Danio rerio: one gene and its partners. The protein of the gene in region 1 purifies or fractionates together with the protein of each later gene. This does not show direct contact. Links are inferred from orthologs where the notes say so. Each region holds a gene or a part of one and is shown in the gene's direction. Other genes may lie near its edges.

The links.
Region 2: the proteins of otud5b (region 1) and supt16h purify together in Homo sapiens (affinity purification with mass spectrometry; 3 studies listed by BioGRID, with this or other methods). This does not show direct contact. The link is inferred for Danio rerio from reciprocal best matches to the Homo sapiens genes OTUD5 and SUPT16H.
Region 3: the proteins of otud5b (region 1) and cdk4 purify together in Homo sapiens (affinity purification with mass spectrometry, with the first as the bait; 4 studies listed by BioGRID). This does not show direct contact. The link is inferred for Danio rerio from reciprocal best matches to the Homo sapiens genes OTUD5 and CDK4.
Region 4: the proteins of otud5b (region 1) and slc7a11 purify together in Homo sapiens (affinity purification with western blotting; 3 studies listed by BioGRID, with this or other methods). This does not show direct contact. The link is inferred for Danio rerio from reciprocal best matches to the Homo sapiens genes OTUD5 and SLC7A11.

The regions. Positions count from the first base shown.
Region 1 is NC_133186.1:27,753,153-27,757,408, forward strand, and holds the start of otud5b (OTU domain-containing protein 5b), read left to right. Parts: upstream 1-1,403; 5' UTR 1,404-1,641; coding exon 1,642-2,178; intron 2,179-2,880; coding exon 2,881-2,974; intron 2,975-4,256. UniProt on the Homo sapiens protein: Deubiquitinating enzyme that functions as a negative regulator of the innate immune system. Has peptidase activity towards 'Lys-48'- and 'Lys-63'-linked polyubiquitin chains. Can also cleave 'Lys-11'-linked ubiquitin chains (in vitro).
Region 2 is NC_133182.1:2,043,850-2,048,129, forward strand, and holds the start of supt16h (FACT complex subunit SPT16), read left to right. Parts: upstream 1-1,476; 5' UTR 1,477-1,750; coding exon 1,751-1,816; intron 1,817-4,280. UniProt on the Homo sapiens protein: Component of the FACT complex, a general chromatin factor that acts to reorganize nucleosomes. The FACT complex is involved in multiple processes that require DNA as a template such as mRNA elongation, DNA replication and DNA repair.
Region 3 is NC_133186.1:164,536-168,627, reverse strand, and holds the start of cdk4 (cyclin-dependent kinase 4), read left to right. Parts: upstream 1-1,283; 5' UTR 1,284-1,284; exon of another isoform or gene 1,285-1,588; intron 1,589-3,315; exon of another isoform or gene 3,316-3,521; intron 3,522-4,092.
Region 4 is NC_133189.1:46,490,559-46,494,125, forward strand, and holds part of slc7a11 (cystine/glutamate transporter), read left to right. Parts: intron 1-2,981; coding exon 2,982-3,108; intron 3,109-3,567. UniProt on the Homo sapiens protein: Heterodimer with SLC3A2, that functions as an antiporter by mediating the exchange of extracellular anionic L-cystine and intracellular L-glutamate across the cellular plasma membrane.

The DNA.
Region 1 (4,256 bases):
AGAGATTTTGTTTTACAAAAACTTTATTACATTAAAACAGACACAATATTACTATAAATTAGTCCATTCAATTTAAATCAAAGAAAAACTATACATTTCAAATAAGTGTAAAAACAACATTGCTTTCATCTACGCAACACAAAGCATTATTATAGCACCAAATATTTTCGAAAGTTTCCAAATCATCCATTTGTATATAGTAACTAAACTCTTGCTTGAAGAGAGACAGACTCTTGCTTGAAGAGAGAGAGAGAGATAGAGATAGATAGACAGACAGACAGACAGACAGACAGACAGACAGACACAGACAGACAGACAGACAGACAGACAGACAGACAGACAGACAGACAGACAGATAGATAGATAGATAGATAGATAGATAGATAGATAGATAGATAGATAGATAGATAGATAGATAGATAGATAGATAGATAGATAGATAGATAGATAGATAGTGTAAATATAAAGAAAAAGCTCAACAAAATAAAGAAGTTGATTTAAGTGTGCTTCACGTGCTGAAAGAGAAGCCAAAATACTTTGATTGCCCCCTGGTGGCCGGCTGCAGTACAGCTCATAAACCACACACTCTCACTGTAAACTTATGGGACATGATTTTTATAACACTTATTTTTTCCCAAAATAGTTTTTGACATTTTTATTAGCTTCTTTATGCTGATGTTTATCAAATTGCAAGTATTTAGTTAAATGTTGCTGTAGAAATGGAGTGTGGTGGATTGAGTGCTTGTGATTGGATCTAGCTTTGGTACCTGCTGTGCAGACTTTTGGCTTCATTTTCTTAAATTTAATTAATTATTTTTCAACAGCAGAAGTAAATGTAGATGCATCGATCCGAGGTTGCCACAGCGGAATTAACTTATTCAGCGCGTTTTACGCAGCGGATGCCCTTCCAGCCGCAACAAATCACTGGGAAACATCCATAAACACTCATTCACACACTCATACACTATGGAGCATTTCACCTGTACCGGATGTCTTTGGACTTGTGAGGGAAACCAAAGCACCCGAAGGAAACACACTTGAACATGGGGAGAAAATGCAAACTCCACACAGAATCACCAACTGACCCAGCCGATGCTCGAACCAGCAACCTTCTTGCTGTGAGGTGAACGTGCTACCCACTGCGTTGCCAGAATCAAGATTCAGCAGGGGAGAATGACAGATTAGAGACGTAATAGTCCACCAACTGCTATATTTAACCCAGCAACAGAAATAAACGTTAAATAGACAACTAAAGGTATAAAAGGCTCTTGAAAATATATAAAACACTCACACTGGCTCACTGGGTTAAAATAAGTCAATAGAAGGGTTAATGCATTAGGGGGCAGTGAGGAGCAACGTCAGCCCATTTGTCAACACGAAGCAGCTCGAGCGTCGGAAGTGACGTGAAAATCGCATTGTGGTTTGTTGATGTTTGTGTCAAACTCTCGGTCGTTCGTTGTTACTAAAGAAAAACCTCGAAACCGGAGGAATAAAGTCGAACTGTGGTGATTGTAGCAGTTCACTGACACCTCGTATTATGCAACTATACATGCGGCGAACAAACTGTTCATAAAAAATCAAAACGGCCGTTTATTCTATTGCGAACTCGCAACAACACAAATCACCGCAAGCTGGCCAGCGATGACAATCCTCCCGAAGAAGAAACCGGTGTCCGCAGGCGGTGGCGGTGATCACACGGACGAACCGGACAGAAGAGGTGGCTCTGAGACGCACCCTCACCCCCTCGCGGGACGACCGGGGTCCCGATCAAGGGCCTCTCCGCCGCCGTGGACATACCAGGCCACACCGCACACTTCCAGAGAGGAGCGGCGGATCGAAGCAAGCGCTCGCCCGCAGGCGGCCTCCCCGCAACCTGGTATCGCTGGAGCTCCGCTCGTGCAGTGTGAAGGAAGCGCGAACTCGGGAACTCGGGTCGAGTTACCGTGCGGAGCAGGCGGTGTCGGAAGCTGCTGCTCGGGACCCGGACTCAGCAAGCGCAGACGGCAAGCGGTCTGCTCCAGCGGTTTGACAGGTGGAGGAGGGAGAGTGGGCGGCGGAGGAGGAGGAGGCGGGAGTCCAGCGTCCGAACCCGAGGAAGGAGCTGGAGGAAACAACAGTGAGGATGAGTATGAGAATGCGGCCAGACTTCAGCTTGTGGACCCCGCCACAGCCGAGCAGGTATGTTGATGTGTCATTCTTTAAAACATTAATTGAATAAATAGCTGCTGCTCCAGTAATTGATAGAAAGGTTTAATACCTTCTCTTGTCTTTATTGGCTGTTATATATCAAATTATTATGTAAATATTGTAATACATTAGTGTGTTTAAATCTCTACAATGTCTCTACAGTCTCTCTACAAGGGTAAAGACTCAATCACATTTTTACAATGAGGCCTATTTAGTTTATCAGTTCACCTTGACCAGTTCTTTGGACTGTGGGGGAAACCAGATCACTCAGAGGAAGCCTACCCAAACATAGGGAGAACATGCAAACTCCACACAGAAATGCCAACTGGCCAGGCTGGGACTCGAACCAGTGACCTTTTTGCTGTGAGGCGACAGTGCTACCCACTGAGCCACTGTGTCACCCAGATATTGGCCATTTCTAGTCTAATGTATTCAATGACTAAGAAAATTAGGATTTTTAATGTATGACTTGTTTTTATTTCTGTCTGAATTGTCTGCAGATTTTCTCTGGATTTGTATATCAAAAAAATAAATCTGTTTAGTGTGTAACAAAAGGTGACATTTACATGTTTGAGCGAACGCTCAAAACACTATTATTTTTAGGGTTCAAATGTTTTATTTGGATGCTTTGTCTGTTTTTGGTGATACAAGTATTCATTGTTGCTGTAATGTACTTTGTTTTTTGGCCTACAGCAAGAAGAATGGTTTGAGAAAGCATTGAGGGAAAAGAAAGGCTTTGAAATAAAAAAAATGAAGGAAGATGGAGCGTGTCTTTTCAGAGCAGTTGGTAATGTTGCAAATTAAATTTTTTTTTTTTGAGTTCCATATATATTATGAGCTGAAATAATATTTTCCGTGTTGGAGTAATCATGGAAATAAATGTATTCAAATAATAAACAGTGTATAATTTATTTTGTTTGCGTTTTATATTGTGTTAGCAAGAGGTGTAACAGATCACTGTTGATTCCTGATTGGTATGGATCATATCCCATGGTTCGGAACGCACACATTAAAATACTTTTTTTAGTGGTAGATTAATCATAAATTTGTAATGGTCACAGAGAGATCGCCTCTAGCGTCATTCAAATCACATGTATAAAAAGATTTAGGCTTTCCTGTAAATATAATGATAAGTCGTGTTAGGTTATTCAGGATGTGGTGTTTTTTTAAGGTTATTAAAAGTGTTTTCTTTAATTTTTTTGTTTAGCCTGCATTAATCCATTCAGTGTAAGCAGCACTATTAATCATTAAAAGATCGGGATCTTAGCACCCATGCAACATCAATTATAAATGATGGTGATTTGCATAGGTTTATTAACCCTTCGAATCACCAAATTGAAATCTGTGCTTGAAAAATGCAAAAATCAAGAAAGAGATTCAGTTTTTAGTCTTTTGACTGTTACAAACAGGCAAATAACACAGAAGTACTCGGATAATAGTTTATAGTTTAGATGAAAACACTGATGTTTATGGTAAAGATTAAAATCACTGTCATTTGTTTAAAAATGAAAGTTGTAAACAGCAATTACATTATTTAACCAATAGGTAGCCAACCAACCAGCCATCAAAAATATGCCACTGAATAATTCTTCAAAAATGACACATATGGTAATGAAACATGAAGTTTTATTAGTAAATAACTGCATCATTTATTGAAAATGAGACTAAAAATAAATATGAATTGCACAAATAATGTTAGATTTCTATGTGTAGCGTTATCAGCTACAGTAGTAGTAACAGGGAATTTTTCACAGTACTGAATATTTTACTATTTATTTTTATTGAGCTGATTATTTCTATATTTTATTTTTAATAAAATTACAGGTTCTAGGTTCTGTTTGCTAAAACCAAAAGTTTCTTGCAGTACTGTTTTTGTAATAAATGGAAAGCATATTACATTTGTCTCCTCCCCTTTTTGGCTGATCCGAAAAATGGTCCGATCCATGACTAAAAGGTCATAATGTGATCTGAACCGTGAGATTTGTGATCCGTTACACCATTAGTGTTAGTACCTTTCTAAGTGCAGTCTCTACAAAATGATTTAACAATTTTTGAGTCATTAAGAAGAA
Region 2 (4,280 bases), on another chromosome or scaffold:
ATAATATCTTATTTATTATTTAAATGTTAAAATAAAATGTAATTTATTATTTAAATGTTACAATTTTTTTTATTTATTATTTAAATGTTAAAATAAAATCTAATTTATTATTTAAATGTTAAAATAAAAATGTATTATTTAATTGTTAAAATTAATTGAATTATTTAAATGTTAAAATAAAATGTAATTTATTATTTAAATGTTAAAATTAATTTTAATTTATTATTTAAATGTTAAAATAAAATCTAGTTTATTATTTAAATGTTACAATAAAATGTAATTTATTATTTAAATGTTAAAATAAAATGTAATTTATTATTTTTCATGTTAAAATTAATTTTAATTTATCATTTAAATGTTAAAATAAAATGCAATTTATTATTTAAATGTTACTATAAAATGTAATTTATTATTTAAATGATAAAATAAAATTGTATTTATTATTTAAATGTTACAATAAAATGTAATTTATTGTTTAAATGATAAAATAAAATTTTATTTATTATTTAAATTTTACAATAAAATGTAATTTATTGTTTAAATGATAAAATAAAATTTTATTTATTATTTAAATTTTACAATAAAATGTAATTTATTGTTTAAATGATAAAATAAAATTGTATTTATTATTTAAATGTTAAAATAAAATGAAATTTATTATTTAAATGTTAAAATAAAATTTTATATATTATTTAAATGTTAGAATTAATTTAAATGTATTATTTAAATGTTTAAAAAAACTAATGGAATATTTCAATAATCATCTAATTGTTATTTTGTTACCCACTTATTTTTTCCCAAAAAAACCCCACAGAGAAATATAATGGAGACTGTAAATAATTCAGCGCTCTCCTCACTCTGCTTCAAGCGCGCCAAACCCACGTGCTCTGCTGGAGTTCGCGCGCTTTTAAGTGACACTAGATGGCGGGAAAGAAGCCGTGCGCGTGAACGTCAAGAACGCGATGAGGTTCCCTCCAGGGCGGGGATTTCAAGACAGAGCTCATCACGTGACCACATTAACGTAGATTTTATTGGACGTATCCTACATGACGTCACTGCCAGGGCGGGAGTTTTCCGTGAGGGAGGGAAACGCAGGAAAACAAAAGCGTAATAAACACCGCACATGCGATTAAAATCCAACCTACATGCGGATATAGTTACTAAACAAGCACAGATGCCCGTCTCGTGTGTAGCTTGAGCTCAGCATTTTGAACTTTTTGGATGATCACGATGTTTAGCACATAATAACAATTGAACATTTGTAAACAGTCACAAAATGGCAGCATAATTAAATAAATATATGCATTTATAATTGAAATAAATAAATAATAATTAAATGGACAGCCTACAAGTTTGTGAAGTAAGCTAGATGTGCTCAAAATGAACGCGTGTTTTAATAAATGGAAATAAATGTTAAAGGGACGCGTATATATGAGAGGGGGCGGGGCTTCAGCGGACGCACATGCGTGATTATTCACTGCATTCACAGCGCGAAAGAGACCGACAGCACTTATAACGGCACTCAGGCATTTTAAACCGTAGTAACCGTCTTTTTAAAATTTGAATTTGAATATTTTTGAATTTGTCTCGCCGTCGTTATTTTTCTGAGCGTGTATCGAGTGTGTCGTGCTGTGAAGAACAGAAACAGTAGAGTGAAAGTGTGTATAAGTGTGTGTGAGTGAGTGAGAGTGTGTGTGTGTGTGCGTGCGCGCGCGCTGCTGGACTTCAGTGTGTGTGTTGATGTGATATTATGGCGGTGAGTCTGGATAAAGACGCTTTTTACCGCCGCATCAAGCGACTCTACGGCAACTGGAAGGTACGGAGAGCTCAGTGTGTGTCATAAACACCACAACATCTGATTATTGATCATATTCGATCATATTTATCCATATCTGATGTGTTTATGTGCGTCTTTGATGCTGAAATCCTCTCTCACACACATCTCAGGCCTCAGCTCTACAGAACTGTTAACGTTATATAAACACACTCCGCCGGTTGAGTTCGTGTTTTAGTGTTTATGGTGTGATTTCTGTTCGTTTATTAAGAAATAACTCAACTTTGCTGTTATTTTGAACGTTCATGTGTTGATTAGCGCAGCGGCTAACTGGTTAGCATGCTAGCATGTAATGCTTCCAGTTTTCACGTAATTTCCGCCTCATAATAAATCTCGTGTGTAGCATAAACACACGTTAAACACACAGACAGTGTGTTTCGTTCATGTTCTTGTATTGGTTTATGGCTGGTGTGTTTTTCGAGGATGCAGAAGTTGTGTGAGATGTAGCATGTAAGCTAGCTTAGCTCGTACTAAGACATGCTGCAGGTGGGAAACAGAACTGTTAGCATCAACTTAAGTGTTACTTTGTTGTAAACTTGAGTCTAAATTGTGTTTAAAGGGTCTGATGACTCGTTTCCTGAAGAAAATTATTGTGCTTTATGCTTATTGTTTTACATATGAAGGGTTTAGATGCAAAAACCTATCAAAGACATCTGATATTTTCTTCTAAAATGACCATTTTTCTCCAACTCCTGTGTTTAGGCTAGGTAATTTTACTTTAATAGTGACAAATAAGTTATTAACATTGCCTTTAAAGTGAAAAAAACTGAACATAAACAAGAGGCTGAAATAAATGTTCAGTTTAGGAGAACATCTCAGATAGCTTTGAGGTTTTTGCATCTGAACTCTTCATATATTCTATAATCACTTCGCTATAATATGATACCCTGGACCACAAAACCAGTCAGAACTGTGTGGTTAAGTTAACTGAGATGTAAACATGATCTGAAAGCTGAACAAAGCTGCCTGGTAATGTGTGGTTTGTTAGAAAATATACAAAATATAGCACTTCTGATGCGCAACCATTGAAAAATCTGAATAGAGGTGAAGTTGGTTTTATATTGGGATATTCAGACATTCTCCTTAATATAATTTCAGGAAAGTGTTTTTTGCAAATTTTAAATAGGGAAATCATATTAGCAGCAAATTAATATCAAAGTGCAACACTGTTTACAGTCAATTAGATAGTGTTACTGTTATTTTGAAGTCATACTTGCATGCTAATTCCAATCGAATATTCAAAGTAACAGGGAAAACAATATAGAGACTTCTAAATGAATGAATGTGTGAACCAACTTTACCTCTATGAAATTTGAGGGATCAAGTACAGGGTTTCATAGAGGTAAGGTAGTTTTTTTATATTCACACATTCGTTCATTTAGCAGTCTCTATATTGTTTATTATGTTAATTTAAACATTCGATCAGAATTAGCATGCAAGTATGACTTCTAAACAACATTAACACCGTCTAATTGACTGTAAACAGTGTTGTACTTTGATAGTCTTTGGTCGCTTGTATTATTTCTTTATTTAGAATTAGCAAAGAATACTTTTCTGAAAATTATATTATTAAGAAGAATGTCTGAATATCTGAATATAAAACTAACTGCACTTCTATCAGGGTTTCTGAGAGGTCTAAAAGTCTTCAAATGTCTTAAATATCAAAATCCAGATTTTAATCTTTGAAGTCTTAAATTTACTACAATATTGTGTTGTAGGTCTTAAATTATTTTTTTTTTAAACAGGTCTAAATTTCCTTTGTTCAACTATTGCTGCTCAATCTGGCCCAAACCCATACATTCACCAACAATCATCTCAATATAACTTTAAACTTTATTTAAAAGGTAATTTTTGAAACTTTATCATAATGGTTTAGTTACTTTCCTTACAATAACATGTTTAAATGTTCTCCTGAGTACACCGACCTGGACAGACTGTTGCCAATGGATTTTGTTTATTATAGTTTTCAAACCGTTTGTTCATTTTTTTATTTTAAAGAAATATTATGTTCGGGGAAAAAAAAGTGTATGGAGACAAGCAGAGCTTGCTTGTTTTTACACAATATTTAAAACATTTAGCTAAGAAATAAAATCTAAAGTATATAAATTGTTTATTATTACTGTATTATTAAATGTATTAAATTGTAATAAATGTTTTTGATAGGTCAAATAATTTTTTTTTTTCCATCTGGGCCATTTGAAAAATTCCTTAGCCTTTAGCCCTTTGTAAGTCTAAAATTTCATTCATAATGGTCTTAAAAATATCTCAGTCTTAAATTTAATATACCACTTCTGATGTGCAACTTTTGAAAATCTGATATCTGAGGCATCGACTACAGAGTTTCTGCGAGGTCTTCAAATGTCTTATATCTCAAAATCCAGATTTTAGGCTTTTTTAATATTTTTGATGGGTCAAATAAAAATATTTTCCACCTGGGCCATTTGAA
Region 3 (4,092 bases), about 28 Mb from region 1:
ATGAACTTTAGAGTCCAGCGATGACCTTTGAGAGACTAGTGATGACTTTTACAAATTAGTGATGACCTTTGGGAGACTAGTTATGATCTTTACATAATAGTAATGGCCTTTGAGAGACTAGCAATGACCTTTATAGACTAGTGATGACCTTAGGGAGACGTGAGATGACCTTTGAGACCACTGTTATGCTGACAATACACTCTATATCTCCTTATAACCCGATAATAAGTTTTAATCATTATATGAGATGCGCCATCCTGAGAACAATAACACCTGTTGATGCCTAGTCTGTCAAAGTTCACCACAACATGCTTTTGAAGTCAAACACAGCAATGAAAGACTGATGGAGAGACGAGGATTTGGACTGAGAAGACACAGGTGTAAACAATTAGCAGGATATCCAACCCTGTACAGCTCATCATAGATTCAGACACTACAGACGACCGCACACACACTGATACGCTGACTTGAGGAATCATGCTTGAGCTCTAGACGCCTTATATGTCTATGTCACATGCCTCCCTACTGTATAGTATGTGAAAAACAGGAGGCGAGCCGAGTGTGTCTGAGTATTGAGTAGTGTGTGTGTGTGTGTGTGTGTGTGTGTGTTATATAGATGGACATGAAACACTGTGTAACACTGTTCTGAAGCTGAGTGTGTGTGTATGTGTGTGTGTGTGTGTGTGTGTGTGTGTGTCTGTCTTTGAGAGAGAGAGAGAAACAGAGATGTGGTTTTCACAGTCCCGTTCACTTCCTGCATGCACTTCCTCTTTCTCTCCAAAACTGACACTCAACATGACTTTCTTCAGAAAACACAAAGCAGAAAACACAGCACAAACTCTCCAAACTACATGAAGAAAACCAGAACAGAAGAGCACACATCATAAACCAATGAAAAACACAGAGCAGTGAAGCCGCTTCCTGCCACTGATGCTGCCATTACGACTCTTTAAGGTGAATAATGCAGGTGTATTATATGAAGAAGACGAGCACGCGTGTCTGAACAGCTGTACACAGAGCAGTTCTCAGAGCAGACAGACATATCCCTCATTTCTAAGATCTGTTAGACTACACCGGACACTGTTTCCAGCATCGCTCAGTCAGGTCCACAGTGAGGAGCAGCAGGAACGTATAAAGCAGAGGGTTTCAGCGTGTGGATCTGGACTGAGGACTTCAGAAGCGGCTCCGCTCACCTTCTTGATGTGGTTGATGCGCACCAGCACACCCTGCCCACGGTCACGGAGGATCAGCAGCTTCTCCGCCAGTTTCAGCTGGTAGGCCATGGTGAGTGTGTGTGAGTGTGTGTGTGTGTGTGTGTGTGTGCAGACTGAAGAGCTCGGAGATGGAGCAGAAGTGAAATCTACACGTTCAGCAGGCGGAGGCAGCGCTCCACTTCCGCTCTCAGCTTTCTCTAATCTGAGTTCACTGTGTCGATCCTCTCTCGCCCATCACACTCACTGCTCAGTCTGATGAAGTGCCTTTAAAGGGTTAGTTCACACATAACTTTAACACTGTCATCATACACACTTCCTCAGGCATTTCAAACCCTTAATGAGTTTCTTTCTTCAGTTGAACACAAAGGAAAACCTGTAACCATTGACCTCTACAGTATTTATTTTCCTACAATGGAAGTGAATGGCTACAGGTGTTCAACATTCTTCAAAGTATCTTCTGTTCTGGTTGAGTGACGCGTCAGTGTCTGTCCTGAGACTGCACACATTACTGACTCACAGCTGATGTTATGTGCAATCTGAGATTTCAGGATCTAATAACCCTAACACAACCACATCTAACCCAGCACATGATGAGGCCTTCACCTGTCTGTACCTGCTGAGACAGAGGAAACACAACACACACTGCTGACACCTGCTGGACACACACATTTTCATTTAATTTTCTCTCAGGTTAATAAGAGTGTCTGTGGCCTCGCCCTCACAGAAATGCACATTATCATATGCTGATGACGTGTGTTGGTGATGTAGCTTTACTACAAATCAAGAATCTTCATTCATCTATAAGCAGATCAGCACATGGGCTCAGCACTACTGCGCTAAACCTGTGACAAGCAGCACAATACAGAGTCACATCCACAAACACCAGCCAACACTGCACTGTGCCAAGAGGAAGCCCTATGTTAACAGTGTCCAGCAGCGCTTCTCTGGGCTGGGAGGCGTCTGGGATGCAGCATCACACAGTGGAGACGTGTCCTGTGCTCAGATGAAGCAGTGTTTCAGGTGTTTCTGGGAGAAATGGACGCCGTGTGCTCCACACCAAAGAAGAAGAGGATCATCCAGACTGACACCAGCAACACGTCCAGCAGCCCGGCTCTGTCATGGTCTGGGGTTGTGTCGGTGCTCTTGGCGAAGGTGACCTGCTCTTCTGTGATGCTCCAGAGGAGACAGACGCTGGACTGACCTGCCTGCAGTCCTGACCTGTCTCCAATAGAGAATGTGTGGCGCTGTACTGTTGCCTACACTAAGACTTGTTTGCAGGAGGAATGAGACAGAATTATCCCTGAAACACTTCAGCACTCGCCGTCTTCAGTCCCTAAACGTCTCTGAGTGTTGTGAAGAGGAGCGGCAGCATGACAGAGTGGGAAACGCTTCACTGATGCAGCTGTTTCTGAAATGTGTTGCAGGAAACATTCATTTATTTATTTTCTTTTCGGCTTAGTCCCTTTATTAATCTTGGGTCGTCACAGCGGAATGAACCGCCAACTTATCCAGCATATTTTTTACGCAGCGGATGCCCTTCCAGCTGCAACCCATCTCTGGGAAACATCCATACACACTCATACACTACGGACAATTTAGCCTACCCAATTCCCCTATAGCGCATGTGTTTGGACTGTGGGGGAAACCGGAGCACCTGGAGGAAACCCACGCCAACACGGGGAGAACATGCAAACTCCACACAGAAACACCAACTGACCCAGCCGAGACTCAAACCAGCGACCTTCTTGCTGTGAGGCGACAGTGGAACCCAAACTGCAAAGTGTTTATTCAGAAAACACAACATAAATGATGAGGAGCACATTAATCATGTGTGCTGAATTACCTGCAGTCAAACACAACTCACAGCACACGTGTTCACACTCACCCAATGTCTGCTGATGTGGGGATGCAGTTCAAGTCGTTTATTAGGGTAATATTGAGGTTTACTGGTGTAAGTGTGTTAGTGAGGTAAGTTTACTGGTGTAAGTGTGCTAGTGAGGTAAGTTTACTGGTGTAAGTGTGTTAGGTGACTGCTGGAAGTGTGTTGTGATTGGCTGAAGTGTGTGAGGGTCTAGTCGTGTCGCTCCGCCTTGAGATCAAACAGGAAGTGAGTTGAGACAGACTGTGAACAGGCCAGAGTTTCTCACACAAACTTTAATGAGTTAAACTTCTGAAATATGAACTGAAATCCTCAGTCAACAGCAAACTCCGCACAACAGCCCGCATCTGAGCGCCGCGGAGCAGAAGCGATGCGCGCTGCACTCTCATAAACTAGTTTAACTAGCTGTGCACGCGCGGAGAAACGTGGTGAGTGCTCAGAAGTGTGTGTGTGTGTGTGTGTGTGTTCAGTATATACAGTGCTCGTAATGACCCGTGTTATGATGTCTCGATTATGCTGGTTCAGCTCGGTGGATGTGTTTGATGACGTGTTGTTGTTGTTGTGTTGTTGAGTCTGTGAGTGTCGTGATTGTGACTGATGTTGTTCTGCTCCTCCTGGGAATGAGCAGCTCCGGCCAGCACTAACAGCGCTTTACCACAGTTTACCTCATTACAGCGGTGCAGGACACACTCCTCCAGCAGCAGCGGGTAAACACATCCTCACACTGCCGCTGAGCTGAAGAGTGCAGAACACGGAGAAGACAACTGCAGGAGCTCTACTGAACACACACACACACACACACACACACACACATCAATATAAGGAGCCTGTGTGGTGTCATATCAAAGAAAATGTACAGTTATTAAGAAAAACACGCTCTCTTATACTATGAACACAGAGTTAACCTCACTGAAACACTTCTACAATTATCACACACTTATAAACATTAAACAGGAGGGAGGATGAACAGCGCACAGTGGCCAGCTTTACTGATGCACC
Region 4 (3,567 bases), on another chromosome or scaffold:
AAATGTAGACAACAGGCTGACAAAAAATGACAAAAAAAGTGTGATCAAACTCTTCTGAAGCACTTTTATAGTTGCATAGTGTGAGGAACAGAGAAATTTAGGTTTTTATTCACAAAGAAATAAAAATAAACAATAAGAATAAATAATAATAATAATAATCTTTAAAAAATTGGCATGATCACACACACAATAACTATAATGAATATCAACATACAGTTGATGTCAATATTATTATGCATCCTGTGATTTTCTTTTTCTCTTTTTCAAACATTTGCCAAATGGTGTTTATCAAAACAAAGGAATTTGTCACAGTATTTCCTATAATATTTTTTTCTTCTGGTGAAACTTTACTTGTTTTGTTTTGGCTAGAATAAAAGCAGCTTTTATTATTATTTTTAAATCATTTTAAGGTCAATATTATTAGCCTCCTTAAGCAATGTTTGTTTTTCAGATTGTCTATACAGTATAAAACAAACTATTATGTTTAGAAATGTTTCTGAAAAAAACAGAAATTGGTGAAAAAAATATTTTAGGGAGGATTTGTTTATTTATTTATTTAATTGATTGATTGATTTATTTATTTATTTTATTTATAGGAAGGGCAAATTATTCAGGAGGGCTAATGATTCTTACTTTTACTGTATATGCTCTTATTTATTTATTTATTTAATCACAGGATTAACTAAATGACTAATATCACATTTAGAAGAATGAGAATGTCTATTTTGAATTACAGTACTGAGGACAAAGCTGTGTGTCCAAAAAGTAAATGTAATCAATGTCTTGGATAAGGTGCTCATTGCTTACATTGCAAAATTACATATTAATCATTTCCCCAAAGTCAAGTTTAAAAACTCCCACCGACAAGTCATAAAATATAATTTGTCATATATCATCTATAATAATAATGATGATGATGACGATGATGATGATAATAATATTATTAATAATAATAATAATAATAATAATAATAATAATAATAACGTATACTTTTCTGCTTACTAGCAATCCTTTATGTCAAATAAAATTGGTTAATGTGACATTATTGACCATTTTAGTAGTTTAAAACAATAAATTGTATGTAACAGCATCTCTTTCTGTTATTTTATTATTGTAATATTGTACTCCTGTCAGCTCAGAAATCAATAGCTTAAAATTGCAAGGATAAATACATGGAAAACAAATGTGAACCACAAATATGGGTGAATGATAATTAATGGGAAAACATGTGTTAAAATATTCCATTTTTTTATATTGTTTGTATATGTGTATATATTAGTGTATGCATATATTCATAGTTAATTTCTACATATACAGTGCTCAGCATTTATGAGTACACTCCATTTTGAAATTTTTTTTTTTTTTCTCATTGAATTTGGATAATATATATTGGTGGAATTAAACAAAACAGATTTATTAAATAGATATTTTTATTAAAATAATATTTTAGTCAGAGAACATCTTTGGAAATGGAAAGACACGACATTTAAATTCATGCAAAATAATGCAAAAAATACAAACTACAACATTTCAACTTATATTTATATATCTTTTGTTGCACAATATCATTTGTGCTATTTTTGAAAATTATGTTTTATATTTTCCCCTAACATTTAAAAATGGGTGTACACATATTTTTGCACCATTACAAGTTATTTTGTTAGATTAGCTCCAGATATGGCTTCAGTTGTGGCTAAACTAATAAATAAGCACAATTGTAATATTGTGAAGATTCCTATATAAAATATTAATTTAAGTGAGAGATTTGTAAGGGTGTTTGCATACTGTATATGCTGAGCACTGTACATGCACTACAGATAATTAAAGTATATTAAATAAAGATGTCATTAGGGTGTCTCCTTTTCAAAAGATACAGGTTTTTACTTTTTAGTTACTAGTTTGTACACTTTATGCAAGTAATAAATTAAAAAATGCATGATTGTATGGCTTTGCAATCCAAAAATGTCATTAGAATGGAAGTCAATGGGGCAAAAACAGCCACTGACATAATAAAAGAGTAGTAAATTTGAGTGTTTTGTTGGATTTTTTTTTTTACATTTTCAAAGCATTTTCCCCAAATGGGTGTCAAAATAAGATGTCACAAAAAAAGCATTCCATTTGCTGAAACACAGAAAAAAATGGTGGCCAAAATTAAGACTCAAAATCCCCCCAGAGTTGATGAAAACATCCCCAACAGCACACAAGAGTTAAAAAAAAATCAATACATTACTAAAGACTCCAGGTTTTGCTGATAGTCACTAAGAAAGAAACCCGGTTTATGCATGAAGAACCTTGACTCATGACCTCTCTAATGCGTAATGTGTGCATCCGTGCTTGATGGAGGCCGATATTGTCTTACGCTGCACTTTGATGCTGAGGAGAGCACAGTCTGACACCGCGAAGGCTGACGGGTGTCGGAGAAGAATTAGTTTGTGTATAAGAAGAGCATTGTTTGACAGTGTGTTTATTCATGTGTATGTCAGGAGTCATTTCACACTTGTCAGCTTTCCTTTGTGTGCAGCAGCCCGCAGGCTTTGAGGAAAAGCCAAGCCGCGGTTCAAAAAAAATAATAATAAAAAACTGTCCATTCATCCACTATTTCTCTCTGAGAGACTTCAGATCTGCATTGTGAACTCTTAATGTATTTTAGAGCTCTCTTTACAATTGCGTTTTGAAGCTCACAGGAGTCAAGGGCTGCAAGAGAAGAAGGGCTTTGATTCCGAGCATTCGTTAAAACATTAAAATGCATAGAGCTGTAAAGAGCTTGACCTCTCAGAGAGCGAACAGATGGTGGTAATGAACTGACTTAACCATGTGCCTTTAGGGTTGCTTTGCAGGTGTTGTAAAATTCTTTCCACCTTTCTGAATAGTCATGGCACTCACTTTCCAGCACTGGCCATTGTCCAGACACTATCACCTCATTTTGCTAAAGTAAGGTATTCATTTTTTTCCTGACTAGTTCTTTCCTTTGTCCATTTCAGGAGCTTTATCGTATGCTGAGCTGGGTACCTGCATTAAAAAGTCTGGTGGTCATTACACGTACATTCTGGAGGCGTTTGGGCCACAAGTGGCTTTTGTGCGATTGTGGGCCGACATGATTGCCATAAGGTCAGTAAATCCTCATTCATCCTCCGTCTTCATCGTCGAGTCTCTGGAGCGCTGCCAGAATAAACAAACGCAATCCGTGTTACACTGCAAATAAACACAAGCAAACTCTCCCTGATGAAGGCTACCGCTCAATATTACTGCTGGCCTCTAGTAGATAAAAAAAAAAAAACATGAGATGAAGTGCTTTGTGGCAATGAGCGAAACATCATGGAGACTCTCACGCAAAGGATCAAGGCCTGGATTCATATGTAATCACAATATACCATGAAGAGTAAAATCTGTAGATGAAACGAATTTGACTTGAATAGAGGGTAAAACATGGGAAAGCTTCAACTATGGTTACTTTACTTGAGACATTCTGTAGCCTATGGCCCTACACTAAAATAATATGCACCCAAAAAATGATGTTCGCAAATTAAAATCAGCTGAAACGACACAAATCTTGAGGGTTTTTGTGAC